Callithrix jacchus: one gene and its partners. The protein of the gene in region 4 purifies or fractionates together with the protein of the main gene of each other region. This does not show direct contact. Links are inferred from orthologs where the notes say so. Each region holds a gene or a part of one and is shown on either strand. Other genes may lie near its edges.

Evidence for each region.
Region 1: the proteins of TOPBP1 (region 4) and PLK1 purify together in Homo sapiens (affinity purification with mass spectrometry; 3 studies listed by BioGRID and IntAct, counting the BioPlex papers as one, with this or other methods). This does not show direct contact. The link is inferred for Callithrix jacchus from reciprocal best matches to the Homo sapiens genes TOPBP1 and PLK1.
Region 2: the proteins of TOPBP1 (region 4) and SIRT1 purify together in Homo sapiens (affinity purification with western blotting; 3 studies listed by BioGRID, with this or other methods). This does not show direct contact. The link is inferred for Callithrix jacchus from reciprocal best matches to the Homo sapiens genes TOPBP1 and SIRT1.
Region 3: the proteins of TOPBP1 (region 4) and CDC45 purify together in Homo sapiens (affinity purification with western blotting; 3 studies listed by BioGRID and IntAct, with this or other methods). This does not show direct contact. The link is inferred for Callithrix jacchus from reciprocal best matches to the Homo sapiens genes TOPBP1 and CDC45.
Region 5: the proteins of TOPBP1 (region 4) and ATR purify together in Homo sapiens (affinity purification with western blotting; 8 studies listed by BioGRID). This does not show direct contact. The link is inferred for Callithrix jacchus from reciprocal best matches to the Homo sapiens genes TOPBP1 and ATR.

Annotation. Positions count from the first base shown.
Region 1 is NC_133513.1:24,291,971-24,297,988, reverse strand, and holds part of PLK1 (serine/threonine-protein kinase PLK1), read right to left. Parts: intron 5,976-6,018; coding exon 5,756-5,975; intron 1,568-5,755; coding exon 1,412-1,567; intron 358-1,411; coding exon 280-357; intron 1-279. UniProt on the Homo sapiens protein: Serine/threonine-protein kinase that performs several important functions throughout M phase of the cell cycle, including the regulation of centrosome maturation and spindle assembly, the removal of cohesins from chromosome arms, the inactivation of anaphase-promoting complex/cyclosome (APC/C) inhibitors, and the regulation of mitotic exit and cytokinesis.
Region 2 is NC_133513.1:62,499,698-62,505,715, forward strand, and holds part of SIRT1 (NAD-dependent protein deacetylase sirtuin-1), read right to left. Parts: coding exon 5,994-6,018; intron 2,820-5,993; coding exon 2,259-2,819; intron 1-2,258. UniProt on the Homo sapiens protein: NAD-dependent protein deacetylase that links transcriptional regulation directly to intracellular energetics and participates in the coordination of several separated cellular functions such as cell cycle, response to DNA damage, metabolism, apoptosis and autophagy.
Region 3 is NC_133502.1:211,172,748-211,178,765, forward strand, and holds part of CDC45 (cell division control protein 45 homolog), read left to right. Parts: intron 1-1,090; coding exon 1,091-1,228; intron 1,229-2,919; coding exon 2,920-3,051; intron 3,052-6,018. UniProt on the Homo sapiens protein: Required for initiation of chromosomal DNA replication. Core component of CDC45-MCM-GINS (CMG) helicase, the molecular machine that unwinds template DNA during replication, and around which the replisome is built.
Region 4 is NC_133518.1:50,499,500-50,505,517, reverse strand, and holds part of TOPBP1 (DNA topoisomerase 2-binding protein 1), read right to left. Parts: intron 5,933-6,018; coding exon 5,751-5,932; intron 4,552-5,750; coding exon 4,355-4,551; intron 2,371-4,354; coding exon 2,191-2,370; intron 1,413-2,190; coding exon 1,246-1,412; intron 1-1,245. UniProt on the Homo sapiens protein: Scaffold protein that acts as a key protein-protein adapter in DNA replication and DNA repair. Composed of multiple BRCT domains, which specifically recognize and bind phosphorylated proteins, bringing proteins together into functional combinations.
Region 5 is NC_133518.1:42,150,612-42,156,629, reverse strand, and holds part of ATR (serine/threonine-protein kinase ATR), read right to left. Parts: coding exon 5,907-6,018; intron 4,812-5,906; coding exon of another isoform or gene 4,670-4,811; exon of another isoform or gene 4,562-4,669; intron 1,384-4,561; coding exon 1,278-1,383; intron 1-1,277. UniProt on the Homo sapiens protein: Serine/threonine protein kinase which activates checkpoint signaling upon genotoxic stresses such as ionizing radiation (IR), ultraviolet light (UV), or DNA replication stalling, thereby acting as a DNA damage sensor.

The DNA of each region.
Region 1 (6,018 bases), on a different chromosome or scaffold from region 4:
AGGCTAAGCCAGGAGCTAGCCTGGGAGTTTGAGGGCTATAGTAAGCCATGATTGCGTCACTGCACTCCAGCCTGGGCGATAGAGCAGGACCCTGTCTCTGGAAAAAAAAAAAAAAGTAGGGGAGTCAGGGAGCACTGGGAGCTGGAACTGGGAGGCCTGGGATGGAGAGAAGAGAGCACTAAGAAGAGAACTTGGGAGCCCAAAAAAGCCAGAGTCTGTAACAACTGAAAGGTCACCTGGCTGTACCTGAGTCACCCACCTGTTCTAGTAGAAACCTACCAAGGCCGTACTTGTCCGAATAGTCCACCCACTTGCTGACCCAGAAGATGGGGATACAGGCAGGATCCTCAGCCTCCTCTGAGACAGAAACAGACAAACAATTGGTCAGGACCAGCCTCTTCCCCTCTGGTTCACACATGTGGCCCACACCAGGGAACAGGGAATCTTGCTGAGCACTCCACCTGGGCTGAGTTGAGAGGCCTGGGGTCCCAGAGAAGAGCAAAGCAGGGCCTCTACTGCTAACAGGCTTAGACAAGCAGCAGCACAGACATCTACACAGAAAATCTCAGCACAGAACGACAAGTTCCACTCATTCCTTCATTCCACTGACTGATTCATTTATTGAAGGCCTACTATGCCTGCCAGGCACTGTCACATGTACAGTGAGCAACAGACAAAACCCCAGCCTCCACAGAGCTTACACTGTGGCTGTAGGGACAAAGACTAATCAAATTAAGTATGGGCAAAATGTCAGTGACTTCTATTATGGTAAGAGTCAGAGGACGATATTATCTAGTTTTCCAGTTTGGAATAATTAAGAAACTGTGAAGACAGAAGCCAGTTGCAAACACATCAAAATATTATGTTCAGTGCATGCAACAAATCCCTTATTTAAAATCCAATAAATAAAGATGGATATGTTGGACTATGTTGGGTGAGAAGTATTATGGAGAACTATGCAGCGGGCAAGAGGATGAGAAGCACTAGCAGATAGGCCAGGGAGATGCTCACAGTGGTGACACTGGAGCAGACACTTGAAGGAGGCCACAGTGTGAGCCATGAAAGCTAGTGTCTGCTTTCATGACAGGGCCAGGGAGCCATAGGTGTGAAAGCCCTGAGGTTGCAGCCCATCTGGGCCTGTTATTTCAAGTGTCTTGAAGAAACAATAGGAACTTACTGAGCAAAAGAAACAGCATATGAAGGTGGCATATCAAGGTGCTAAAGTAAGAGACGGATCAGAAAAGAAGGCAGGAGCCACAGCATGCAGGACCTTGGATGTCAGGAAATGGGGAAACCAATGGTCCTATGGAGACAGGGCCTGGATAAGTCACCAGTGCTTTGCTGGCCAAGATTCCTGCCTTCTCCAGATGCCCCAAGCAATCCTGCCCTACACAGGGCCCACAGTACCCACCTTGCCTGACCAGCCCACGGTCTGAGGGCTTTGAGGCATTGACACTATGCAGCTGCTGCAGCATATCACTGAGGTGGCAGTCGACCACCTCACCCGTCTCTCGAACCACTGGTTCCTCTTTTTCCCGGGGACGCTCAGGCAGGGGGTTCTCCAAGCCTAGGAGGGTAACAAAAACAGGGGCGTTGGGAAGGGCACAGGACTCCCTGCCACAGCTGAAACTTTTCTGAAAGAAAAATCTTAGCTACCACTGCTTAGGGGAAACTGAGTCAGTGCCTGGTCAATAGAGCAGGAGCTGCCATGCTCAGGTGACAGGCACACGTGCTAACTGTGAGGCAACAGATCTTCAGATGCTCTAGCCTGTGACCCAACGGCGTGGCCCTGGAGGATACCACCTGCCACCCAGACAAACAGCTTGAAGCCACCAGCAACTCAGAGCTGCCCAGCTTCAAGCAAAGACTTAAAAGCGTCTTCCACATCTAAGCAGATGGGAGGGCTGAGTAGTCTCAGTTCACCCGCAGGATGGATTCAATAGGCATTTAAATAAAAACACAAGAGATTTTTTTCTACTCTAAAATTTGCTTTATATGTTTATAATCAAAAAACGCATGAAAAGATACATGAAATTTTAACACTGGTTATATCTGGGCAGTAGAAGCACAGATTATTTTTATTGCCTTTTTCCTTATTTGTTTATTCCCCTATCAACATTTGCTAGTTCTCCTTGTATAATGTAAAATGTTTCCTAAAGAAGTTTTCAATTAAAAACTATGCCATGATATAGCAAGGAGCTGTTCAAAAAAAAAACCAAAACACTATGCCATCATAGGGACTTAGGGGTGAAATAATAAGATATTAGGGATTTGCTTTAAACACTCCAGCAAGCCCGGGGCAGTTGGCTCACACCTGTAATCCCAGCACAATAAGAAGCTGAGGCAGGTAGACTGTTTGAGCTCAGGAGCTTGAGACCAGCCGAAGCAACATGGCGAAACCCTGTCTCTACGAAACATACAGAAACTACTGGACATGGTGGCACAATACCTGTAAGTCCCAGCTACTTGGGAAGCTGAGATGGGAGAATCACTTGAACACAGGAGGTTGAGGCTGCAGTGAGCCATGATCTTGCTACTGCACTCAAGCCTGGGCAACAAGGCAAAACTATCTCAAATAAATAAATAATTTCCAAAATTCCAGTTAAAAAAAGGCAGGAGGGTGGAATAAATAAAACAAGTCTGGCCAAATGGTGATAATTAGTAAAAATAGATGAAACATGGGATTCATCATACAGTTCTACCTTTGGGTAAGTTTGGAAATTTCCTTAAGTTTTAAAAGTGCTATATGAAAAATTAAAACTGAAAGAAAAAAAGTAGGAGGCTGAGGCAGGAGGATCACTTGAGCTCAGGAGTTCAAGACCAGCGTGGGCAACAGAGCGAGACTTCATCTCTACAAAAAGTTTAAAAATTAGTCAGATGTAGTGGCACACGCTTAAAGTCCTAGCTACTCAGGTCAAAGCTACAGTGAGGTACAATTGTGCCACTGCGCTTCAGCCTGCACGACAGAGCAAGACTCTGTTTCAAATAAATTTTTAAAAAAGAGAGAAATAAGTAATCCTTTAAAATATAGCCCAAAGAATAAAATATCCATGAGTCTATTTCAGACATAACCAAATAAATCAATGGGAGAGAAGGAATAGCACTTCCTTACAGAAGAATTCCAATTATTAAATGTAGAAAAACTAAGGAAAAGAAAAATTGCCATTAGAATATCACTGTAGGTAGGGCACAGTGGCTCACACCTGTAATCCCAACACTTTGGGAGGCGAGGGAGGATCACTTGAGGGCAGGAGTTTGAGACAAGCCTGGTCAACATAGTGAGATCATGTCTCCACAAAAAAAAAATTTTTTTTTTTTTTTTTTTTTTGAGACAGTCTTGCTCTGTCGTGCAGGCTGGAGTGCACTGGTGAGATCTTGGCACACTGCAACCTCCACCTCCCAGGTTCAAGTGATTCTTGTGCCTCAGCCTCCCAAAGTAGCTGAGATTACAGGCGTGCACCTCCACACCTGGATAATTTTTTGTATTATTAGTAGAAGCAGGGTTTTGCCATGTTGTTCAGGCTGATCTCGAACTCCTGAGCTTAGGCAATCTGTCCACCTTGGCCTCCCAAAGAAAAAAAAAATTTAAATTAGCTGGGTATAGTGACCCATACCTATAGTCCTAGTTACTCTGGAAGCTGAGGCAGGAGGACTGTTTGAGCCCAGGATGTTGAGGCTGAAGTGACTTATGATTGAGCCACTGCATTCCAGCCTGGGTGACAGCAAGTTCTAAGAACCATCTCAAAAAAAAATTCCACTGTAATAATTTCTGAAAGGTATATGGAAACTCTGGGGATCTTTTTGTTGTTGCAACTTTTCTATATAAGCCTAAAATAATTCCAAAATGAAGTTTAAGAAAAACCAATACCTAAAAATTGAAAACTGAAAAATGAACTTAAGTTGTACATCAAATGGGTGATATATCCATAGAGAAAAAAAAGTATTTTAAGTGACTTTTTAAAACTATATATCCTTAGTGAAATATACTTTAAGGACAATTAGGATTGCAAGAAAATAAATACCATTTAACAGGAATTCATAGATGTTGAAAATTTTAAGTATATTAATGTATAAGGAAACAAGATTTTCAGTTTAAGAGAAAAGAAATGCAAGTATAAACCAAAGAAGTAAAAACAGATTAACATCGTGTCTAAATCAGACACTTAAAAGTTACCAAAAGCAGTAACTTCCCAGTAGAGAAGATCGGCTATAAGACATATGTATCAATGTTAAATTTCCTGAACTTGGGAACTGTGCCATGTACTATCCTTAGGTAAAAGAATCTGTTTTTAGGAAGCATACACTGAAGCACTAAGGGTGAAGTGTAGGACATATATAACTTTTCGATGTTCAGAAAAAAAGAGAGTAATTGATAAAACAAATGTGGAAAAAAGTGCTAACTGGTGAATCTGGGCAAAAGGGGAGAATAGGAGTGCATTTTTGATCTATGCTACCTTTTTCATAAGCTTGCAAAAATATCAGAATAAATTGTTTAAAAATGTGTGATTAGGAAATATCATCACAGACTCAATGTCAGTCTTCCCCCACTGCTATAAATGCAGTTCCTAATTCTGTTCTCTGAAGAGACCTAGAAGCAATGACAACCTAAGCAATGGCATGCGGTTTTTTGATTTTTAAGAGAACGTTCATCTTTTTTAAGAGAAGCATTCTGAAGTTTATATAGGTGTAAAATGGCAGAGAGCCAAGGTTAACTTTAAAAAAGACTTCAAAGGACAAAAATAAATAAATGAAGCAAACTTGACAAAATCCTGATAACTAATTACTGAATCTAGTAAGTATGAGGGGATCTATTACATTATGCTCTATACGTGTACTTGAAAATTTTCATGCTGGCTGGGCGCAGTGGCTCACACCTGTAATCCCGGCATGTTGGGAGGCTGAGGCGGGCAGATTACTTGAGCTCAGGAGTTCAAGAACAGCCTGGGCAATGTGGCAAAACCCTATCTCTACTAAAAATACAAAAAATTAGCCGGGCATGGTGGCACATGCCTGTAGTCCCAGCTACTTGAGAGGCTGAGATGGGAGGATGGCTTGAGCCTGGGAAGCAGAAGTTGCAGTGAGTCGAGATCACACCACTGCACTCTAGCCTGGGGGACAGAGCCAGACCCTATCTCTAAAAAAAAAAGGAAATTTTTTTCAATGAACCATGTAAAAGTGTTAGAAATATTTTTAAAGGCCTGGCATAGCAGCTCATGCCTGTAATCCCAACACTGGGAGGCGGAGGTAGGAGGATCGCTTGAGTCCAGGAGTTTTAAGACCAGCCTGGGCAACATGGCAAAACACTGTCTCTACAAAAAGTAGAAAAATTAGCCAGGCATGGTGGCACATGCCTGACAGTCCCAGCTACTTGGGAGGCTGAGATGGGAGGACCAATTGAGCCTTAGAGTTCAACACTGCAGTGAGCTGTGATTGTGCCACTGCATTCCGGCCTGGGCAACAGAGGAGACCCCGTCTCCAAAAAAATAATTAATTAAAGTGATTGGAAAGAATTTTTCAGGCTTGGCATTCAGTCCATTTTCTTCTTCTTGGGCATGGTAGGTTTATCCAGCCATGGTAAGGTTGGTCTTTCCTGGCAGGGCCAAGGAACAGGTGGGCACTATAACCATGGATTTAAAGATAAGGGCCTGTCCTACTCCACACCTGAGCTCCTGGGGCCAGGGAGTAAGCTGCACACAACCCTACAACCTGGGCTGTCTCTGGGGGGTCTGCTCTCTTACCCAAACCCTTGTTGTACCTTTATTGAGGACTGTGAGGGGCTTCCGGTTGCTGGAGTCCAGGCTGCTGGGAGCGATTGAAAACCTTGGTGGAATGGTCAGACAGGTAATGGGGAGACGGGCAGGGATGTAGCCAGAAGTAAAGAACTCGTCGTTAAGCAGCTCGTTAATGGTTGGGCGGGCAGTGGGATCTGTCTGAAGCATCTTCTGGATGAGGGAGGTGGCCACAGGGTTGATGTGCTGGGGCAGAGAGGGACGGCCATAAACAGAATGTAAGGTTGAC
Region 2 (6,018 bases), on a different chromosome or scaffold from region 4:
TTTACACTGCTGGTGGGAGTGTAAATTAGTCCAACCATTGTGGAAGACAGTGTGGCAATTCCTCAAAGACCTAGAAATAGAAATTCCATTTGACCCTGCAATCCCATTTCTGGGTATATATCCAAAGGATTATAAATTGTTCTACTATAAGGACACATGCACACGAATGTTCACTGCAGCACAGTTTACAATAGCAAAGACCTGGAACCAATCCAAATGCCCATCAATGATAGACTGGACAGGGAAAATGTTGCACATATACACCATGGAACACTAGCAGCCATAAAAAACGATGAGTTTTTGTCCTCTGTAGGGACATGGATGAACCTGGAGACCATCATTCTCAGCAAACTGACATAAGAACAGAAAATCTAACACCGTGTGTTTCTCACTCATAGGTGGGTACTGAACAATGAGAACACATGGACACAGGCAGGGGAGCATCACACACTGGGGTCTGTCAGGGGGAAATAGGGGAGGGACAGCGGGAAGTGGGGAGTTGGGGAGAGATAGCATGGGGAGAAATGCCAGATATAGGTGATGAGGAGGAAGGCAGCAAATCACACTGCCATGTGTGTACCTATGCAACAATCTTGCATGTTCTTCACATGTACCCTAAAACCTAAAATGCAATTAAAAAAAAAAAGACATGAAGTTTTACATTTCAGGTTGTAGGAGTTTATGAAGAAAATGAAAATATTATTCTATTTATATAAAAAGTCCAGAATAGGCAAATCATAGCGATAGGAAGTGGATCAGTGATTGCCTAAGGCAGGGGAGACTGTGGGAGAGAAGAGAGGAAGGAATTGCAGGTGGCAGCTAAGAGGAATGAAATTTCTTTTGGGGGTAATGAAAATATTCTACAATTGATTATGATGCATGACTCTGTGAATATACTAAAAGTCATTGAATTATAAACCTTCAGTGGGTAAACTGTATGGTATATAAATTATACCTCAATAAAGCTATTTTTAAAAAGTGAAAATAAAAAAAAAGACAAGTTCCTGATGCAAGTCTTCAGTGCATAAGTAGACTTTGTATATGGTAGAGACTGTATACTACCTAAGTCAGCAGCAATTTTTCCATTCTGCCACGATTTGCAAACATAAGCATATCCCTCTATGCTTTTTGTATCATCTTTTTAAATCGCTACTTCTACCTTTTGGGCGATGCTATTTTCAAAATAATAATAAAGTACTTTGTTCTTCAGCAGCACCTATATCAAAGTATTAATGAATATTTATCACCCACATTTATAATTATACACAACATTAATCACTGTCTCCAGAACTTACCACAGTGCCTAATATGGAAAAGGCCAAAGGTTCAACTGAACTAAATTTACAGCAAATAACTGGAATACTTAATACATTTGTCTAAAATTTGTCAGTTTCCACCAAGTATGGTAAATGGAGTAAGTTCTTCTAAATTAAACTTTTACACATCTAAGTTACAGTGTGTGTATATATATTTTTAACAGTAAGTGTCAAGAAATGTTAAGTTTACAAATGTTAAATAAAAGAAAAAGCTTAAGTCAGGAATTTCCACCACAGACTACTTGGACTTAAACATCAGCTTTCAAAGAGTAGAAAGTGATTTCACCTATGTCGATTAACACTTATTGATAAAGACTATGCATGTTCAAAACAGGTAGAAACTATTCCTATATTCAGTGGAGAAGAATCAAAGGTGGTTTCTCCTAGGACTTCCTCAGAGAAAACAAAGATGTGTTCTAGATCTGAGACAACACTGCACAGTAGTTAAGAGGGCAGGCTCTGAGCATAAGTAGACCAGATTTTAATCTGGCTCTTCCACTTCTTAATAGTCGTGCACAAGTTATTTAACCTCTATGGTCCTCAGTTTTCCCACCTGCAGAAGAAAGTTAATAGTTCCTACCTCAAAGGATTAAAAGCACATAACGTATGTAAAGTAGCTGACCCACACTAAGCACTCAAATCTGTCATCATTTCTGCCAGCTAAAGCTCTCAGCAGACAACTGCACAGCACTCAATACCAACCCATTCTTGATTTATCTTTCCATGCCCTAGAGAAACACAACATACAGAGCACTATTAAACACTTCCTTCTCCATATTATGTAAGATACCAGATTTACCTTTCTGATTATGAACTGTACAGTTTCTCCAAACAGAATCAACTACATAAAGCTACTCTATCAATTAACCTGCTGAAATAACTAATTTTTTGCAAATATTGTTATGACAAGTATACTTTCAAAATGGTTGATTGCCTTCTTACCATCAAGCCGCTTACTAATCTGCTCCTTTGCCACTCTACTAGGCCAGCACTTTCTCACTGTTCCAGCCACTGAAGTTCTTTCATTTTTCTCCCCAGTACTGGAACCGACATTCTTCAAATCCGGATTTTCCATCTGTTCAGAAATACTTTCAACATTCCTAGAAGTCTGTACTTCTTGTGGTTTTTCTTCCATACAACCTTTTGATTCAGACACGTCTAAATCATCAACATTACTGTTAGTTGCTTGGTCTAAAAGTGTGACAATCACTGAAGAATCTGGTGGTGAAGTTCTTTCTGGTGAACTTGAGTCTTCTGAAATATGAAGAGGTGTGGGTGGCAACTCTGACAAATAAGCCAACTCTTTTTGTGTTCGTGGAGGTTTTTCAGTAATTTCTGAAAGCTTTACAGGATTACAGCAAAGTTTGGCATATTCACCACCTAACCTATGACACAATTCATTAATTATGACATCACAGTCTCCAAGAAGCTCTACATCAAAATGCAGATGAGGCAAAGGTTCTCTATTAATTAATATCTGAGGCACTTCATGGGGTATAGAACCTAAAACAGGGTGAAAAATAAGAGTTAGAAAAAGGAAGGAGGAAGTAAGCTAATAAAGCCACAACAGATACAAGGGCTTGAGCTCCTAATTCCCAAAAAAGACCCTTACACTAATACTTAAGCAAGCCATTACATTTCATTAAGCAAGCCATTACATTTCATCAAGCAAGCAGATAAGCAGTTGTGTCTTTTATAAAACATTCAGGTTCTGCTCCTGTCAGCTAGTTACCTGAGCTATCTTCCCAGACTTTCCTATTCTGAATCTCAATTTCCGTGTCTGTAGAATGAGGATATTAATAGTACTTTCCACAAGACTGTCGTTGAAGATTAAATGAGTTAATAAGTGCACAGAAGAGTTCTTAGTAGTTCCTGACATAAAGAAGGCAAGCCAGGCGTGGTGGCTCACGCCTGTAATCCCAGCACTTTGGGAGGCCAAGGCAGGCAGATCATCTGAGGTCAGGAGTTCAAGACCAGCCTGACTAACATGGTGAAACCCCGTCTCTACAAAAAATACAAAATTAGCTGGGCATGGTGGCACATGCCTGTAATCCCAGCTGCTTGGGATGCTGAGGCAGGAGAATCACTTGAACCCAGGAGGCGGAAGTTGCAGTGAGCCAAGATCATGCCACTGCACTCCAGCTTGGGCAACAAGAGTGAAACTCCATCTCAAATAAATAAATAAGGTGAAAAGACATAGAAATTTATTCTACATTATTATAAAACTGTTTCACTTTTTAAAAAAGTATCTTTGCAACACACCATACTATCCCACAGAAAGCTTTTGAAACAAAAGCTTTTAAGAACCAGGTGTGGCAGCTCATGTCTGTAATCCTAATGCTCTGAGAGGCTGAAGATGAAGGATCACTTGAGGCCAGGAGTTTGTGACCAGCCTGGGCAACAAAGTGAGTCCCGTTTCAACAAAAAATTTTAAAAACTAGCCAAGCGTGGTGTGCACCTGTAGTCCTAACTATTCAGGAAACTGAAGTGGGAGGATTCCTTGCACCCAGGAGTTCAAGGCTGCAGTAAGCTGTAACTGCACCACTGCACTTTAGCCTGAGCTGGACATCGATCTCTAAAAAATAAAAAGCTTTTAAACAGAGTGCCTTTGAATTAACTTTAAGAAAAGCAACTCAAGGCCGGGCACAGTGGCTCACACCTGTAATCCCAGCACTTTGGGAGGCTGAGGCAGGGCGAGTCATGAGGTCAGGAGATCGAGGCCAACATGGTGAAACCCCATCTCTACTAAAAATACCAAAAAAAAAAAAAAAAGTTAGCTGGATGTCTTGGCGTGCACCTGTAATCCCAGCTCCTGGGTGGCTGAGGGAGGAGAATCACTTGAACCCAGAGGTGGAGACTGCAGTGAGCTGAGACAGCGCCACCGCACACCAGCCTAGCCTAGCAACAGAGCAAGACTCCATCTCAAAAAAAAAAAGAGCAACTCAAGATCAAAGAGACTTGTATATTAAATTTTCATGTTTCATTTCATTGCAAATTGTCTTCTATTCTACTTTAACAGTTTTACAGCTAATTAGGTAAGACTGAGTTAACTGCTAAAGACACCAGATATGAGATAAACACAAAATTGAAGAGCTTGATTCCATATTTTTTCCAACTTTTACTCTGGCTGCCTTGACTGCTGATGTGGGGTCGAATTCAATTCTCTGGCTAGGGATTTGATACTGTTTCCTCTGCTCTTTCTCTCACTTATGAATGGACACATCTGATGCAACTGAAATCTCTCTCTCCTGATTCTTCACTAGAGGAAAAACAGGCAGTATGAGAATATATATGAGAAAGAAATTATTCTGAGAGCAATAGGGATTTAAATTTTATGTGAACACTTTTATACAGACCGCTTTTAGGTTTGCTAGATCAACATACCATTATGACATGGCTGATTGTTATTACAAGAATGAACCAATCATTTTGAGCCCCCAAATTCATCTCACATGGTATGTTACACTTCTACCTTCTACCAAACTATACATTTGAATTTATTGGATGTGAAATCATTTAGATTGGAAGGATAACAACTATCTTATTAAGACTAAAAAATATAAGGATTAAGGACTGTTTCATAAATTGAGGCTGATCCTTGCAACATTAAAAACACATTCTACCAAAAAGTCTGTTAAACTCTTTACCTTTGTCTTAATTTTTCACATTAATTAGAAGTAGAGTTTGGTATTACTTGTGGATTTGTTTTTGGTTTTGTTTTTTTGGGACTTCTGTTGTCCAAGCTGGAGTACAGTGGCAAAATCTCAGCTCACTGCAACCTCTGCCTCCTGGGTTCAAGCGATTCTCATGCCTCAGCCTCGAGAGAGTAACTGAGACAACAAGCAGGCACCACCCCGCCCAGATAAATTTATATATATATTTCTTATTTTTATTTTTTTTTAATGTTTACATTTTTAGTAGAGACAGGGTTTCACCATCTTGGCCAGGCCAGTCTCAAACTCCTGGCCTCAAGCAATCGGTCTGCCTTGGCCTCCAAAAGTGCTGAGATTACAAGCATGAGCCATCAACATTACTTGTGTTTTGACAACCCTCCACCCCCATCAAAATGTCAGATTCACCAGTCTCTATGAACAATACCGCCTAAAAAAGAAAGTTTAGCCAGATGTGGTGACTCATGCCTATAATCCCAGCTACTCGGGAGGCTAAGGCAGGAGGACCACTTGAGCCTAGGAGTTTGAATCCAGCCTGAGCAACACAACAAGACCTCATCTCTATTAAAAATAAACAATTTCTAAAATTAGCTCTTTACCACTCTTTTTTCTTTTTGAAACGGAGTTTTGCTCTTGTTAGCCAGGCTGAAGTGCAATGACGCCATCTTGACTCACTGCAATCTCCGCCTCCTGGGTTCAAGCAATTCTCCTGCTTCAGCCTCCCGAGTAGCTGGGATTACAGGCACACACCATCATGCCCGGCTAATTTTTGCATTTTTAGTAGAGATGGGGTTTCACCATGTTGACCAGGATGGTCTCTATCTCTTGACCTAATCCATCTGCCTCGGTCTCCCAAAGTGCTGGGATTATAGGCATGAGCCACTGCCCCCGGCCTTCACCACTCTTTTAAACAGAAGCAGAGTAAGATTACTATGGTCTATTATACAGATCCACAACCAATGGCATTATATATAGAAACGTTTTCCAAAAACCAACACCAACTTACTTGGAATTAGTGCTACTGGTCTTAC
Region 3 (6,018 bases), on a different chromosome or scaffold from region 4:
GCTATATATACTGATGATTTACGCATAAGTTGTAGAAGCAAAACTGAGAGCACAAAAAGATAATAAATGTGGATAGCCCCTAACTTTGAACTTGTTTTGCAGAAATTTGATTGTAAGGTGCTTGGATTCTAGCAGTTTTTAATATGGTCTAGTTAAAATTATTTTATTTTATTAATTTATTTTGGGACGGCCTTCTGGGTTCAAGCGATTCTCCTGCCTCAGCCTCCTAAGTAGCTGGGATTACAGGAGCCCACAACCACACCTGGCTAATTTTTGTATTTTTAGTAGAGATGGGGTTTCAGCACTTTGGTCAGGCTGGTCTTGAACTCCTGACCTCAAGTGATCCGCCTGCCTTGGCCTCCCAAAGTGCTGGGATTAGTTAAAATTACTTTAGAATACACTACTGTCTTACATTATTTCTCCAATGCATCCTGGTTTCCAACTTGAAATCCAGGAATGAATTTAAATAATAGAGGCCAGTATTCCTCGCACCTCTGCATGGGGCCAAATGAGAGATGGGACATTGTGGACTCCACAGATAGGGGATGGAACATGGAAGAGGGTCCCTGGAGTGCCTAGCCATATCTAGGATTATTTAGGCAGAGACAAATCTTTTTCTGGTGTTCCTGTCATCATGTCAAGGACCCATACCAGTTTGGTATTTATAAGGAAAGAACATGGTATACTAGTGATAGAGTGTGATAAAGGACTTAATTAAGTACCCATAAAGTATTTGCTAAAAACTTAAACCTGTACAATGTCATTAGCCTGGAGAGGCACACAGCACTGTACTATGAGGTCTGAAGAGAAACAACCATGTTCTGAAAGTCTTGGTCTGCTCCTCTTGGGCTTCTTGAGCTTGTCCATGAAATTTGGGCCTGCTGAGTCTCAGTGTGCTCCTGGGGAAAGTTGGGAGCCACAGTGTCACCATGCTAAAGCACTTAGCCATTTTTGGAGTCCCTTGCCATGTGGTCCTCACCACATATCAGGGACTTAGTGAGTTTCAGCAGAACAACTCAGAGGCTTAGTGCAATGAAGGGAAAGGGGCCTCCTTGGTACAGCTACTTTACAATATCTTCCTTTTTTTCAGTTTCGTTACTTTATTCTCATAAACTGCGGAGCTAATGTAGACCTACTGGATATCCTTCAACCTGATGAAGACACTGTATTCTTTGTGTGTGACACCCATAGGCCAGTCAATGTCGTGAATGTGTACAACGACACCCAGGTACTTTTCGTGATCTGCCCTCAAACTGTCTGTACCTTTTATCCATCTATAATGTCTCACCTGGTGTTCTTGGTAAGGTGTATGTATTACTACTCTATGGGAGTGGGAACCAAAGTACTTGGTCTTTGTCATCTTTTTTTTAAGAGATAGGCTGGAGTACAGTGGCACAATCATGGCTCACTGTCATCTCAAACCCCTGGGTTCAAGTGATCCTTCTGCCTCAGCCTCCTTAGTAGGTGGGACGACAGGCACATGTCACCACACCCAGCAAAAATTTGTTTTTATTTTTTTTTGAAATGGAGTCTTGGTCAGGAACAGTTGCTCACGCCCGTAATCCCAGCACTTTGGGAGGCTGAGACAGGTGGATCACTTGAGGTCGGGAGTTCAAGACCAGCCTGACCAAATGGCAAAACCCTATCTGTACTAAAAATACAAAAAATTAGCCGGGCATAGTGGTATGCGCCTGTAATCCAGGCTACTCGGGAAACTGAGGCAAGAGAATTGCTCAAACCCAGGAGGTGGAGGTTGTAGTGAGCTGAGATTGCACCACTGCACTCCAGCCTGGGCAACAGAGCAAAACTCTGTCTCAAAAAAAAAGAGAAAGAGAGAAATTCAATCTTGCTGTGTGGTCAGGCTGGCCTTGCACTCCTGGCCTTAAGAGATTCTCCCACCTTGACTTCCCAAAGTACTGGGATTACAGGCATGAGCCACTGTGTCCAACCATGATTTTGTTCATCTTTAACAAGAGATGTGGCACCTAGCCCTTGGAGTTGCTCAGAATGCATTTGTGGAATTGACTTGACTTGGGAGGTATGGGACCAGAACCCTGTAACCTAGAATGGCTCTACTGTGCTTACTCTTTGAACCCTTGAGCAGCAAGCATACCGTTTGAAGGTATACCTAAGCATTCTCTGACTTGATCTCCCACCCACAGGGTGTTGGGCTCCCAAATTCTTATATCAGGAACCTCTCCCAGAAAAATCAGCCTGGAGGCCAGGTGCGGTTACTCACACCTGTAATCCCAGCACTTTGGGAGGCCAAGGCAGGCAGATCACTTGAGTGGGAGTTTGAGACCAGCCTGGCCAACATGGCGTAACCCATTTTTACTAAAAGTAGAAAAATTAGCTGGGTGTGGTGGCATACACTTGTAATCCTAGCTATTTGGGAGACTAAGGCAGGAGAATCACTTGAACACGGGAGGCAGAGGCTGCAGTGAGCTGAGATTGTGCCACTACACTCCAGCCTGGGTGACAGAGCAAGAGTCAGTCTTGAAAGAAAAAAAATAAAGAAAAATCAGCCTGGAATTAGTTTTAGGTAAGAGTTTTATTGACTTATGGGTTATACATATTCATGTCCTTTATCAGAGGCCAACTTGTGGGGTATTCATTTTATTGCTGTATGGCATAAGAGGATGCTGTGTTTCCAGACTTATATAGACTAGACGGTTTTCAAAGAACTGTTTTCAGATTTTCATAATTTCTGCATACCACATATGGTGTAACTCTGGTGCCTCACTGGTAACGAAAACAAGAAAATTCCTAAGAAATCTGGAACTCTTGTTAAATAGGTAGCTATTTGTATGTACAGGAAACTGAGTCAGCTTATTAGGAAATAAGATTCTGCAAAAGAACATATTGTATAGTTTTCCGTAGAAAGAGGAGAGACTTAATTCCTGTTTGTTTTGAACTCAGATCAAATTACTCATTAAACAAGATGATGACCTTGAAGTTCCTGCCTATGACGACATCTTCAGGGATGAAGAGGATTCAGGAAGTGACAGTGATGGGTCAGAGCCTTCTGAGAAGCGCACACGGTTAGAAGAGGTGTGTTTGGGTCTCTTCCAGCATCCTGGAGGAACATACACTTCCAGAAGTCAGAGGTCATCCTGAAGCCTGCCAGGCCCAGGTGTAACTGAGGGCAGCGAGAATTGGAGAAGTTAGCAGGCATGGATGCTGACCCTGGGCTCTGCTGTCCCCTGGCTGTGTGGCCTCAGGCAGGAGTGGCTTATCTGTTCAATAGGATGCTCTCAGATGAAATGAAATTTAGGACAGCTCAGCTCTGCAGCTAAATAGCAAAAAAAATGATGTAGAGAAACAATTAATAGTACAACCCCTCCCTTCCTTTTCTACTGTCTTCTAGCATCACTCACTGCAGTCACTGCAGAGGAGCAATGTGGGTCTGCATCCTTTGGCCAGACCCAGTCCCAGACAATTACTCCAGGGGAGGCATCCTGTATGTGATGATAGGAGTAGTTTTTACCATGTGGACCTTGGGTCTGAGCTGCTTAGTGATCTGAGGCAGGGGTCAGTTGCCTACCCAACGCTACAGCTTCTGCTAGATGTAAAATGACAGGCGGGAGGTGGTTGTTCCTATAACACGGAGGGCCATGTGATGCCTTTGAAGATGCCCTCTGGCTCCTGATCATTGGTGTGTGACCTAGAATTTGCCCCCAGAATGTTCTAGGGTCTACCCTTCATCCTCAGCCTGACATTTCCCAGTAATGTGCTTTCGGGAAGCCTTTTTGAGCCATATTTGAGACATTCAGGACGTTCTCCATTTGGCAAAGGGGCAGTCCCCTTCAAAGTGAGGCATGCTGCTCTCTTCTTTCTCACCTTTGTCACCCCTTTCACTAGGTTTGGTGTCTCATAGGGAACTTCTTGGACCCACTGTAGGATTTTCTTACCTCTTGCCCAGCTCTTTGTTCTATTTTTTGGTCTTTATTTTTTTATTTTTATTTTTTTCCATACAGGGTCTCTCTATGTTGCCCAGGCTGGCCTCAAACTAATGGGCTCACTCGATCTTCCCACTTCAGCCTCCCAAGTAGCTAAGACTATAAGCACACGCCACTACACCTCGCCCAGTCTTTATCTTCTAATCTTTGATTTATGGGAGGTCTTTTTTGTTCTCTGAATGCTTTTTTTATAGCATTCTTTTAACTATTGATGAGCTGCATTTCATTTGTTCCCAAATGTCAATATCTAATGGGATTTTCCATGGAAACATTGATGTTCTACAGATAATTCTTGGAATTTTCCACTCTGACTAATAAGCAAATATTTTTTCAGCACTTACTATGTACCAGGTACCAGTTAGACCCCAGGGTACAGGGATGAGAGCAAAGTCCTGCCTTTGCAAAACTTCCCAGCTGGGGAGACAGATACTGATGATGCAAATGAGCACAATTAGGGAACCAAACATGAATGGGCAGGGGATGGAGCCAGGAGGATTCTTGGGCAGAGCATCCATAGACACTGTGGCTCTGAGGTGAGAAGGAAAGTTTCAAGGCAGGTTCGGCCGGCAGTGCCAAAGAAACAAGCAGATGAAAACAGACCAGCGGGTTTGGCAACAAGGAGAGGGTAGGTTATCTTCAAAAGAAAATATCAGCGCTTCTATTTACACAGTTAATACATTAATTTAGAATCTGTTTGTAAATTTAACATAATATTAATGGGATATAATACACATAATTTCCCAACAACTTTTTATTTGCGGCAGGAGTATTAATTAAGCCCAGAAATTTAAGCAGCCTGGGCAACAGGAAAAGACCCTGTCTCAAAAAAAAAACAAAGTTTTTCACATTTGCCACATTTGCTTTCTCTCTACGTATTCTTTTTTCTGTATCATTTGAGAATAAGTTGCAGAAACTATGATACTCTTTTTTTTTTTTTTTAAGAATTCTCATCTGAATTTTTTTTCTTTTTCTTTTTTTTTTTTAGAATGATATTCTTTCTTATTTTTAATTTTACTTTTTTTTGAGATGGTGTCTCACTCTCGCTGAGGCTGGAGTACAGTGGCATGATCTTGGCTCCCTGCAACCTCTATTCTGGGTCCCAGCAATTCTCCTGCCTCAGCCTCCCGCGTAGCTGGGATTATAGGCATGCGCCACCTCACCCAGCCAGAAACTATGATATTCTACACATTCTTTCATAAGCAGCTCCTAAGAATAAGGACATTCTTCCTCATAAATACAATGCCATTGTCATACATAAGAGATGAATAATGTCATAATATGTAATATTCCGCCCATATTCAGGTCTCTTTAATTGTTCTCAAAATATATTTTGCAGCTATTTTTATTTCTGAACTATCCTCCAGTTAAGGTTGACACATTTAGCTATTTCTTTTTCCTATCTTAACCTAGAGCAGCACCTTACCTCTTTTTTTTTCTTTTGAATGTTTTTAATGATATTGGAAGCCGGTCCTCTTTTCTAATACTTACTACTTGTTTCTTCATGGAGTACTTTAACTTGCTTCTCTATCCCTGCATTTTCTGTAATCTGTAAATTAGGTCTAGAGCCTTGATTGTAATAACATTAAGCATTTTTGAGAAAAGTACTTTTTATATGATTAAAACCTGTACTTGACTGATAACTAAGTATGTGTATATTAGAAGTATATTCTTAGAAATATTTTTACCAGCCTGGCGTGGTGGCTCACACCTGTAATCCCAGCACTTTTGGAGGCCAAGGCAGCTGGATCATCTGAGGTCAGGAGTTCAAGACCATCCTGGCCAACCATGGCCAACATGGTGAAATTGGTCTCCACTAAAAATATAAAAATGAGCCAGGCACAGTAGCACGTGCCTGTAATCCCAGCTTCTCAAGAGGCTAAGACAGGAGAATCACTTGAACCCAGGAGTCAGAGATTGCAGTGAGCCGAGATTGCGCCACTGTACTCCAGCCTGGGCGACAGAGCAATACTCCATCTCAAAAAAAAAAGAAAACTATTTTTACCAGACTGGACAACCTAGCAAGACACTGCCTCTCCAAAAAAAAATAAAAATTAGCCAG
Region 4 (6,018 bases):
GTTCAAGACCAGCCTGGTCAATATAGTGAAACCCCATTTCTACTAAAACTACAAAAATTAGCTATGCACGGTGGCACACACCTGCAATCCCAGCTACTTTAAGAGACTAAGATAGGAGAATCACTTGAACCTAAGAAGTGATGAGCAGTGGGCTGAGGTAATGCCACTGTGCTCCAGCCTGGGTGACAGTCTCCATCTCAAAACAAAAAAAAAAACCCAGCTTTTGTTTAGCCAGTAAGTTGGTAAGTTTAAAAAAAACAAAAACAGTTAAGGTAATTTGCCCAATTTCCCTTAACAATAAGGTAGGGTTACATTTTTGCTACTCTGAAAACGAATGCAGAGCCAAGTCATTCTACAAATAGGAATACGTTAAGAATTCCAATCTAAGACAGCTGAAAAAGCACAGCATATGATGTTTCCATCAATAAACTTACAAGACAGTTATTCACATACTAAAAAATTAAAATAACCCACAAAATACCAAACAAAGCAGTGGCTCTAATGGTGAGGAATATGAACTTTGAGGTAGATGACTGGCTACTTAATGTGTCTCTCTGTGTGACTCTGAACAAGAATTTTAACTGAGTCTTACCCTCAAGATAATATCCACTTCAGAGTTATTTGTGGGAATTAAATGAGATTATATATAACATATTAACATACATAAAATTATTAGGATGGTGTCTAATACACTGTAAATACTTAAATGATAGTTATTAATAAAAGTCCAAACCTGGGAAACACAGTAAGACCTTGTCTATACAAAAAAATTTAAAAATTAGCCAGGTGTGGTGGCACATGCCTGTAGTCCTAACTGCTTGGGAGACTGAGAGATGGCTGATGCCCAGGAGTTTAAGGTTATAGTCAGCTATGATTGTGCCACTGCATTCCAGCCTGGGCGACAGAGTGAGACCCTATTTCAAATAAATAAATAAATCCAGTAAGTCATTCAGAAACTAAGTGCTCTCAAAACATAATAGATGGAAAGATTAATGTAGTTAGGAGTGTTCAGAGAATAATTAAAAACTGAAATAAACTTCTAAAAGATAACAGAGGAAGATGACTCACAGAGCAACTCTCACAGCCAAAGGAGGATATGTCTAGTAAGTGCATCTACTTAGCTAGAGAGGAGGGTTTACATAGATAGTAAGGAGCAAGCCCAACTCTGAAGATTCTTCGGAGTCGGGTTAGGAAATGCTAATGTATATCATCACTTACTACATGTATTATATAATAAGGACGTACCCGACAACCATCTAATAAATCTTCAGGTGCGTGAAATGCACTCACATCCAGATTTTCCAGATTTTCAAGGGTAGCCTCCAGTTTGCTGTTAAGTGAATTACATATCGACTCACTTATGCAACTTGCATTTATGTTGGAAATATTGCTGACATCTGAAAGAGTACGACCTACATATTTTGAAAACATGTATAAATTTATGGGAGATAAAATAATCGTAATTACATATTGTCTATGAATTAACTTTTCTTACAAATAAAGGGCAATAAACAACTTCCAAAGTAAGATGCAGGTATGTTTACTAAAATCTTAGTGGAAAAGTATAAAAAGGAAAAATGAAATTAATTAGGCCTCATATCTTATTTAAATGAAAACAAGACACATTTTCTTAATAGTGTCTTGTTTCCCATAAAAATCTGAATTTGCTGACTTTAAGGTCCAAGAAGCTCACATTTGAAAAGACTTTTAACATTGTGCCAAAACGACACCTACAAAATAGAAACTGTTTTAATTTTTATACAAATACAGATGATTTATAACAATTGCAGCAAAATCATAAACTAAGGAAATATATTAATATTATATATTTAATATACATTAATTATATCAATATTAATATATAAATTATATATAAAATTATATATATAAGTATTAATATATGCATGTCCATAAATTTTATCTTAAGCCTCTATCTACTATTGTTCTTAATTTATTTGATCATCTTTTGCATGACATCAGGGTATAAAAGAAAGCAATTATTCATTCTAAAAAAAATTAGGAGCAGTTCAGTACTAACTTTTTATACAATTTGACTACTATACAATTAGGTTTAGAAGCATAGCAAACAAGAAAGAAAAATTCCCTATCTCAGTGATCCTATTAATATACTGATTATTATACAGAAACGATTGTCTTTAGAATGATGATTTTAATTTCAATGAGACTCACTATCAATTGTGTTGATCTGGCCAGTAGGAGTTGAAGAATTGGGCATAGTCTTTGCTTCTGGTCTTGGTTCTGTCTTGTACATGGATTCATCCTGACAAAAACCTTTTTCAACACTGTCAAAAAACCACTGCGTGGTCACACAGTGTACATTCCATCTCTTGGCACATTCATATTTCTGACCTGCAGTGTTCATTAAGAAACAAAGAGAGGAAATAGAGAAATGAAAATCATTAAAATCTATCTTTGCAGAAGTATTCAGATTATAACAGGTTACTTAATTTTAATTTTTGTTTGTTTTTGAGACAGAGTCTTGCTCTGTTGTCCAGGCTGGAGTGCAGTGGCACAATCTCAGCTCACTGCAACTTCTGCCTCCTGGATTCAAGCGATTCTCCTGCCTCAGCCTCCTGAGTAGTTGGGATTACAGGCATGTGTCACCACTCCCAGCTAATTTTTAAATACTTTTAGTACAGACAGGGTTTCAGCATGTTGGCCAGGCTAGTCTCAAACTCGACCTTGTGATCTGCCGGCCTCAGCCTCCCAAAGTGCTAGGATTACAGGCATAAGCAACAGCTCCTGGCTCCCAGCCGTAACAGGTTATTTTAAAAACCTATCAACCAAATTGAAGTTACCAGTACTTACTCTTAAACAGTATGCTACATAGTTTATTGCAAAGTAGTACTTTAGTTTATTGCCTAATTAAATTTTCTATGTGTTGTATAAATACACATGCCATGTGAGGGGGTTTATCTCTTATACAAACTGCAGGAAGACAGGAGCAACTGTGGGGTAACAATATTGGACTTTGGTTTGCATTTAGGCTCCATCACTTAATTCCTTTAAACAAGCTTGTATAATGTGAAAATTGTAAATGTGTGTAATATAATAAATCCCAATTTTGAACACTGGGATTCCAATGTCAACAGGCTTCTACTTAAAGTCCAGGATAGATAAGCCAATAGATAAATTATGTTAAAAATATGTATCTTTTTATTACCTTAAAAACCTTTAACACAATGTATTTTGAAGCAGTATCACAGAGAAACTGAAGTCTGTATGTCACATGAAAGGTTTTCTGGCATTCTTGATAATCAACAGTGAACTGTCTTCAGATTCAGAAAAAGAACAGCTGTATCAACTCTACTCACAATCATCCTATCACAATTGGCCATACCCAAACTTCTGACTTAAGGACAATTACCATTTAACCTTAATTACTTCTCAGTCTAGAAAACTTAGTAAAACACAGTACACATATATATAGCAATAACAAAAACATTAACAAAATTCATCTTTTATCAATTTGCGTGTATTTTAAGAGTGCTGATAAAAAGTTATCCAGAATAATGTTATGGAACACCAAATTTAAAAACAATTTTAAAGAATTTTTCTTGGTTGGTAATGTCTTTTTCATTTACTGCCTCATGTTCTCCAAGGCGTGTCTTCCAGTTATAACTTGTAGCCCATTCAGTCAAACTGAAACTAAGTCAAGCCTTTCGTCATTACAAAGAAATGCCATTTAGCTATATTTATTAGTTTTCTTGTTATTTACCCAAACTTCTTTTCATTATTTGGTAACTGTGTGAGGAATATTTTTTTTAAATCAAAAGATACCAAAGTAAGCTTACATAAAACATCACTAAAAGGTTTTGGTTTTTTTAGTACTTATTAAATGACACGAATAAATACGAGAAAAGTCATATAGTTTAAGATTGTGACCCAAACGACTTCTGCAAGATGTTAGGTAAAACGGTATCAAACTAGATTAATGACATGTCAGAAGTAAAAGCTGTTCTGTAAGATTTTAAAATATTAAATACTAATGGCTGGGCACGGTGGCTCATGCCTGTAATCCCAGCACTTTGGGTGGCTGAGGCAGGTGGATCACTTGAGGTCAGTTAGAGACCAGCCTAGCCAACAGGTGAAACCCCATCTCCACTAAAAATACAAAAATTAGCCAGGTGTGGTGGCAGGTATCTGTAACCCCAGCTACTTGGAAGGCTGAGGTGGGAGAATTGCTTGAACCTGGGAGGCGGAGGTTGCAGTGAGCCGAGATTGCACCACTGTCCTCCAGCCTGGGCAATAGAGCAAGGATCTATTTTTAAAAATAAAATACTAACTCACAGAGAAAATGTTTCATGTGTCCATTTGTGAAACACAGTTTTACCTTTTGGTTCTTGCACAATGAGGTGTGTACATTCATTCATTTTCAGTTGTCCCATGTATTGACCTCCATGCTTAACTGTGAGTTGCTGAACTTCCTTCCGGTCTAAGCCACTTAAACCAGTCACACAGATTATGCAACCAAGAAAAATAGGACACTTGAAATCTTCCATGTTTATATCAGTATATCTACTTATTTTTCTGTGGGAATCAAATGGATAAAAAGAATACATTTACCATAGTTTTAAATTTACTAGAAGAATAATGACAACATCACAAATATCACTACTGTTTTCCTCATTTTTTTAGGATTTATAACCATTTTTTTAAAAAGGAGAACCACCAAACAGAGTAACACCAATTGCTCACCTAGCTCAATAACAGGTTTTAATACAAAGTAATTATTTCAGATACAGTCTCTCAAAACTGTTTTAAGAGAAAAATATACATTTTCTTAACTCTAAGCCCTTGCTGGTTAAAGTGGTATATTTTCCAAAATTCTACATCTGAATCTCTATTTAAAAACCCAAAGTTACTTTGGTTGCCTATTAGAAAAATAAACTTTTTAATCTTTCCATTATTCTGTATAAATAAAAGCAATGACTTTTGGCAAAATACCAACAAAAATGTCATTATTCTGTTGCCATGCTAGGCAGATGTGCTGAAGTAATCACACTGGGAATGAGAGTTGCTGACATGGAGACATTTAGGATTTGCTGGATGGTGTTGAAAACAAGCCCAGAAAAATGCTGATACAATTCGTATGCCAATAGAATTCCGTGGTATTTGGTCTTGTGGTTGTTTATCTAGTTTCAGGGGAAATTTAAGTGTGCCCCTTGAAATAGGCTCTAAGCTCCATGAGGGAAGGGACGTTACCTTGCTTTGCTTACTACATGTATCTAATGCCTAGCTCAGGTCAGATACATAAAACAGGCTCAGTTAACACTGATTAAATGATCACATCTCAGCTGATGACTTATATACGTTTATATTAAACCTTACATATGCCCCCTTTGGGAAGGAATGTAACTGCCAACATGGCTAATTTATTCTCTATCTTTATATATGGGAATGGTGTTGAAGGATGATACAACATAAAAGCTAAAGATTTGCCAAACTGGTTTTCTCTATTATTTCAGAAACATTTACAGCTGGGAACTTTATCATCAAAGCATTTTTTACTCTGTAACTACTGCTAACCCCTTAGCCCATTCTATAATGCCTGTCAACTTTTATCTTGGTAATGAGAGCATGCAAATTCTGCTCTTCTGTTTTCGCTGGAGAAGAAGAGTAATGACACTATTTTTTTCCCTAAATAATAAATCCAAAGAGTATATCGCATGCCAAAAATGATTGAATGCATCATTTTTTCAAATCTAGAAAATATAAAAATGTCTTACTTCTCTTGTGACTTCTCCCAAAGTGTTTTTATCCAAGAGGGAAGCAAAATAGGTTTCTTCAGGTTTGCAGCAACTAAATATTTTTTGCTACCAACTTCTCCTGCAATAAGGTGAGTTACTGATATGTTAAGGTCTCTGTATACTCGTCCGCCCATCATGTGTACATATCTATGAACTTCTTCCTGCAGCCCAAAAAGAGAATACATTAATACTAATGCAAACAATATTGCTTCCATTTTTATACACCATATCAAAAATACATTTTGCT
Region 5 (6,018 bases), about 8.3 Mb from region 4:
ACTGTGATCCTACTGGAGCTCTTTCAGCTGTTTAGAATAGAAATGGAGCAAGCAGAAGTTTTAACAGGTTCAAGAACTGGTCAAATACTGGAATCCTTCAGTAAAAGGTATCCAGTATAAGCCAATTGTATCTAGAACTTAACGAAAAGGAACATGTCCCAGAAACCATCTGCTATTTAACTGCTACAGAGTGAACTTTCCAAGTATTTCCAAAATTCTGGAAATATTAATATCACCCTACAGATAAAGATAATAGAGCAAGAAAAAGAAATTGAAGAACTAAAAAAGCAGTTAAACCTCCTTTTTCAAGACAAAAGGGTTAAGGTTGACATGAAGGATGGGGGCGTATGTGTCTAATCTTCCTCAGGCTGTATCAGTAGGATGAAAGTAGACTTAAACTCTTAAGGTAGTTACCTGGAATGTAAATTTTTAATCTTTATTAGGGTATAGTCAGTATAATTCTTAATTGTATTTAGTAAGCCTATACAAGACTTATTAAAGATGTAAGAGTGCCTGCCCCAAAATAATCCTCCATCTATTCTAACTTATTAAAAATAACCATCTGGGCCAGGTGCAGTGGCTTATGTTTATACTCTCAGCATTTTGGGAAGCCAAGGGGGCTAGATCACTTGAGTTCAGGGATTTAACACCAGTTTGGCCAACATGGTAAAAGCCCATCTTCACTAAAAATATAAGTAGCCAGCTGTGGTGGTACACGCTTGTAATCTCAGCTACTCGGGAGGCTAAGGCAGGAGAATTGCTTGAACCTGAGAGGCAGAAGTTGCAGTAAGCCAAGATCATGCTGCTGCACTGCAGCTTGAATGACAGAGCAAGACTCTGTCTCAAAAACAACAACAAAGCTATCTGCAAACTTTGCAGCTTCAACTAATATTAGTAAGAAGTGAATTGCTGCATTTGTTAAGATGGCTTGTGACACACTGGTATCATGGTATTAAAGCTCAGACCGGTTGTTCTGTTAAGTTCACGCAATTTATATTTGTTTTTCCTACTGTATCTCATAACTGTGAATTGTCTATGGTTAAACAAGTGTGCCATGAACTGTTTTATTATACAAATGTTAATAATGTTAACACTGTTGACAATAAAGAACACTTATAGCTTTGTGACACTAGAGAACTAGATTTCAGAGTAAGCAATAGTCATTAACAGTATTTCCAAGCAGTTCTCATGCACAGAGATGAGAACTATAGCTACATATCGAGTTCATTTGTAGAGATGAAGACTACAGCCCATATCAAGCTACATTTTCTACTAACCTTTTCGTTGACAACTTCTCCAGTTTCATTCAGTGATGCTTTGGAATGTCCTTTCACTGGTTTACTCCACTCCACAAGAGGATCATGCAGAAAAGTCTTTAAGACACTAAAATTGAAATAAATATTATGGTACAATGTTATCTTTACAAGAAAAAATCCTGCTAACATCAATATTTAAGTGGCGGATTAGGAGCTAATGGTAATACTCTTTTAATACACATTACTACCTTTTCACTAAGTTATGTGAAATTTCTGTTTTGGTGTGAGGGGAAGGAAGGCAGAATCCTTCCCTTGCATTGTCAAATGCAAGGGAACACTCTCTTCTCCCTTGCATTGTCAAAAAGATGAGAGAGAGGACAGTCAGAGGAGAACAGAGTAAGTTGAGTTCTGTGTGCCATCTCGAAGTGTATCTTGTGAACTGGTACATGACTATATATTGAATGAAGGAGTTTAATCCTTACCATGTCTTCAATAACCATATAACATCTATAGCTACCATACAGACCTAACCCAGACCTTTTTTTCTGTACTCTAAACATCAAATCCACTTACCTATGGGAAATACCCAGTTGGATATGTTCTGAGCACCTCAAACTCAGTATCTCCAAAATAAAATTCATTACCTTTTCCCAACTATTTCTCCTGTATTCCCCAAATCACTAAAGATCATCAGCATCTGCCCATTTGCCCTAGACAACAATCTAGGAATCATCCTTGTCCCCTCTTCCTATAACATCCAATTTCTCTTCCTAAATCTCTTTGGAATCTCTTCACTTACCTGTGTCTCTACTGCCATGACACTGTCCAGTATACCATTATCTTTTCCTGGGTTACGGCAATAAACCTCTAACTAGTTTTCCAGCTGTTAGCCCCAACTAGAACCCTAGTTTTTCCTACAGTACAAATCAGATTGTCTCATTTCACCCCCGCCCCGTTTTTTTTCCTTCTTAAAATCCTTCAATGACTTCTGGCCGCTCTCCAGGCAAAGTTATAATGTAATAACAGGCCCCACACAAGACCTTCATAATCTAGCCCCTGCTTACCTGTCCAGCATCATCTCTGAGCAACACCTCCTGGAAGTTAACCCTCTGGAATACATACTGTATTTCTCAGGCAGGCCATGACTTCACTTGCCTCAATATTTTTTATCACTTAGAACACTTTCTTCTCCCTTGCATGGTCAATTTTATTTACCTTTAAGGTCTCAACTACTTCCTCTATAAATTAGTTCTTTTCTAAAAATTTATTTAATTTAACTTAATTATTATTATACTTTAAGTTCAACTTCCCCAGACTAACACAGGGGCTCTTGGTAACTGTTCCACATGATGATATACTTCCTATTTCAGATAATTTGCTTTTGCCTATGTCCAACTAACCAGTACTCTATCATAATGTCCAATAGACAGCTTTTAAATAAAGAAGGTGAATAAATAAGCTTTAAAGTTTCTTTCAAGAAATCTGTTTCCCACAGTTAACATCATACTTAAAGGTCAAAGACTGACTGCTCTATGATCAGGAACAAGATGAAGATGTCCACTTTTAGCATGTCTATTCGACATTGATTTAGCTAGGGCAAGTAGGCAAAAAAAAGAAATAAAAGGCATTGATGGCAGAAAGGAAAAAGTAAAACCATATCTGCAGATGACATGTTGTTGCAGAGAGAAAATCTTAAGGAAGCCACAAAAATAATTATTAGAACTAATACATGAATTCAGCAGACTGCAAGATATGATATCAATATATAAATATCAGTTGTATAGCTATACACTAGCAATGAACAATCCAAAAATGAAATTAAGAAAATTCCATTTATAATAAAATCAAAAGGAATAAAATACTTAGGAATACAGTTTTTATAAGTTAAACATAAGACTTGGCCCTAAAAACCACAAAACATTTATGAAAAAAATAAAGAAGATGCAAATAAATTTAAAAAAAGTCCATGTTCATCGATCAGATAACTTAATATTGATTGTTAAGACAGCAATACTCCCTAATTGATTTACAAATTCAATGTAATTTCTATCAAAATCCAAGCTCATTTAAAAATTCATATGGAAATATAAGAGAACCATAATAGCTAAATGATCTTGGGGGGACAGGGAAGCAAAGTTGGAGCTTTGCAGTTTCAACTAATATTAGTAAGAAGTGAATTGCTGCATTTGTTAAAATGGAGTTACTCACACTTTCTGATTTCAAAATTTACTATAAACGTATAGTAAGCAAAACAGTATGTTGTTAGCATAGGTTAGGCATATAAGTCAATGGAATATTGCTGAAAATCAATTGACAATTTCAACAAAAAAGCCAAGATAATTAAATGAGGGGGAAAATATTCTTTTCAAAAAATGGTTCTAGGTCAAATGGATATGCACATGCAAAAGAATGAATATATACACCATATATACAAAATAACCGAAGACAGATAAAAGATCTAAATAGCAGAGCTAAAAGTTGAAAATCCTTAGAAGAACACATAGGTGCAAATCTTCATGACTTTGGATTAGGGAATAGTTTCTTAGCTATGACACCAGAAACACCAAAATAACCAGAATAAAAAGAAAAAAACAAAGAAAACCAAATTAGACTGCATCAAAATTTAAAACTTATGTTTCAAAGGCCATCATCAAAGAAAGTGAAGAGACCACCCACAGATGGAAGAAAATATTTGAAAATTATATCTAAGAAGGGTCTTATATCCAAAATGTGTAAGAAGCCTTGCAACTTGGCCAGGTGGGGTGGCTCACTCCTGTAATCCCAGCACTTTGGGAAGCTGAGGAGAGTGGATGGCTTGAACTCATGAGTTTGAGACCAGTCTGGGCAACATGGCGAAACCCTTTCTCTACTAAAAATACAAAAATTAGCCAGGTGTGGTGGTACATACCTGTAGTCCCAGCTATTGGAGAGGCTGAGGCAGGAGAATTGTTTGATCCCAGGAAGCAGAGGTTGCAGTGAGTGGAGATTGTGTTACTGCACTCCATCCTGGGCAACAAAGCGAGACTCTGTCTCAAAAAAAAAAAAAAAAAAACCCCAGAAAAAAAAAGAACTTTTGCAGCTTAAGAATAGGCCAGGCATGGTGGCTCATGCCTATAATCCCAGGACTTTGAGAGGCCAAGGTAGGTGGATCACTTGACGTCAGGAGTTGAAGAGACCAGACTGGCCAACATGGTAAAACCCAGTCTCTACTAAAAATGCAAGAATTAGCCAGACGTTGGTGGCACACACATTCCTGCTGTCCCCGCTGCTTAGGAAACTGAGGCATGAGAATCACTTGAATCCAGGAGGCATAGGTTGCAGTGAGCTGAGATTGCACCACTACACTCCAGCCTGGGTGACAGGTCAAGACCCTGTCTTAAAGAAAAAAAAAAGAGAATAAAAGACAACCCAATTTAAAAGTGGGCAAAGGATTTCCATAGACATTTGTCCAAAGATGATCTACAAATGGCCAAAAAGCACATGAAAAGCTGCTCACCATCATTGGTCATTAGGGAAATGCAAATTAAAACCACAATGAGATATAACTTGACACTCCTAGAATGGGTAAAATAAAAAAGGCAGACAATAACCAGTGTTGGAAAAGATGCAGAGAAATTGAAACCCACATGCATTACTATTGGTATTATAAAGTGTTATAACAGCTTTGGAAAATAATTTGAGAGTTCTTCAAAATCTTAAGTGTAGCATTTAACATAAGACCCAGCAATTCCACTCCCAAGTATATACAAGAGAACTGAAAACATATGTCCACATAAAACTTGTACACAATGTTCACAGCCATGCTATTTACAAGACAATACAAAAGGGGAAAACAATCCAAATGTCAATTAACTGATGAACAGTAAAAGAAAATGTAGTATATCCATATAACTGGATACCATTTGGCAATAAAAAATACAGTACTGATACATGTTGAACACCAAAAACATTACATTAAGTGAAACAAGACAGACATGAAAGGCCACATATGGCTGGGTGTGGTGGCTCATGCCTGTAATCCCAGCACTCTGGGAGGCCAAGGTGGGTGGATCACAAGGTCAGGAGTTCAAGACCAGCCTGGCCAAGATGGCGAAACCCCATCTCTACTAAAAATACAAAAATCTGCCAGGCATGGTGGTGGGTGCCTGTAATCCCAGCTACTTGGGAGGCTGAGGGAGAGAACGGTTTGAACCCGAGAGGTGGAGGTTGCAGTGAGCTGAGATTGTGCCACTGCCCTCCAGCCTGGGTGACCGAGTGAGACTCAGTCTCAAAAAAAAAAAAGCCACATATTAATGACTCCATTTATATGAAATGTCCAGAATAGGTAAATCCAGAGACAGAAAGTATTATACATGAGTGGTTACAAAGAGATAGCAGGGGTGGGAGGGGAAAGGGATTGGGAGTGACTACTAATGCCTATGGAATTTCTTTTTGAGTTGATGAAAATGTTTTAAAATTAGATAGTGGTAATGGTTGCAAAATCTTGTGAATATATTAAAAACCACTGAAGTATGTACTTTTAAAGGTGTGAATTTATGGTATGTAAACTATATCTGCATAAAGCTATTTAAGAAAACTATTTCAGTCAGTGCAAAGTGGTTCCTATGTAAAAACATACTGTTAAATTATTTACAAAGTATAGATGATTACCTCATTAAAGGCTCTCGCTGATCGCGCATCAGCCTCATTGTAACTTCACATGCTCTTCGAAAAAGACCCTCTGTTCCCATAGGACCCATTCCATTTACCATATTATGAGTCA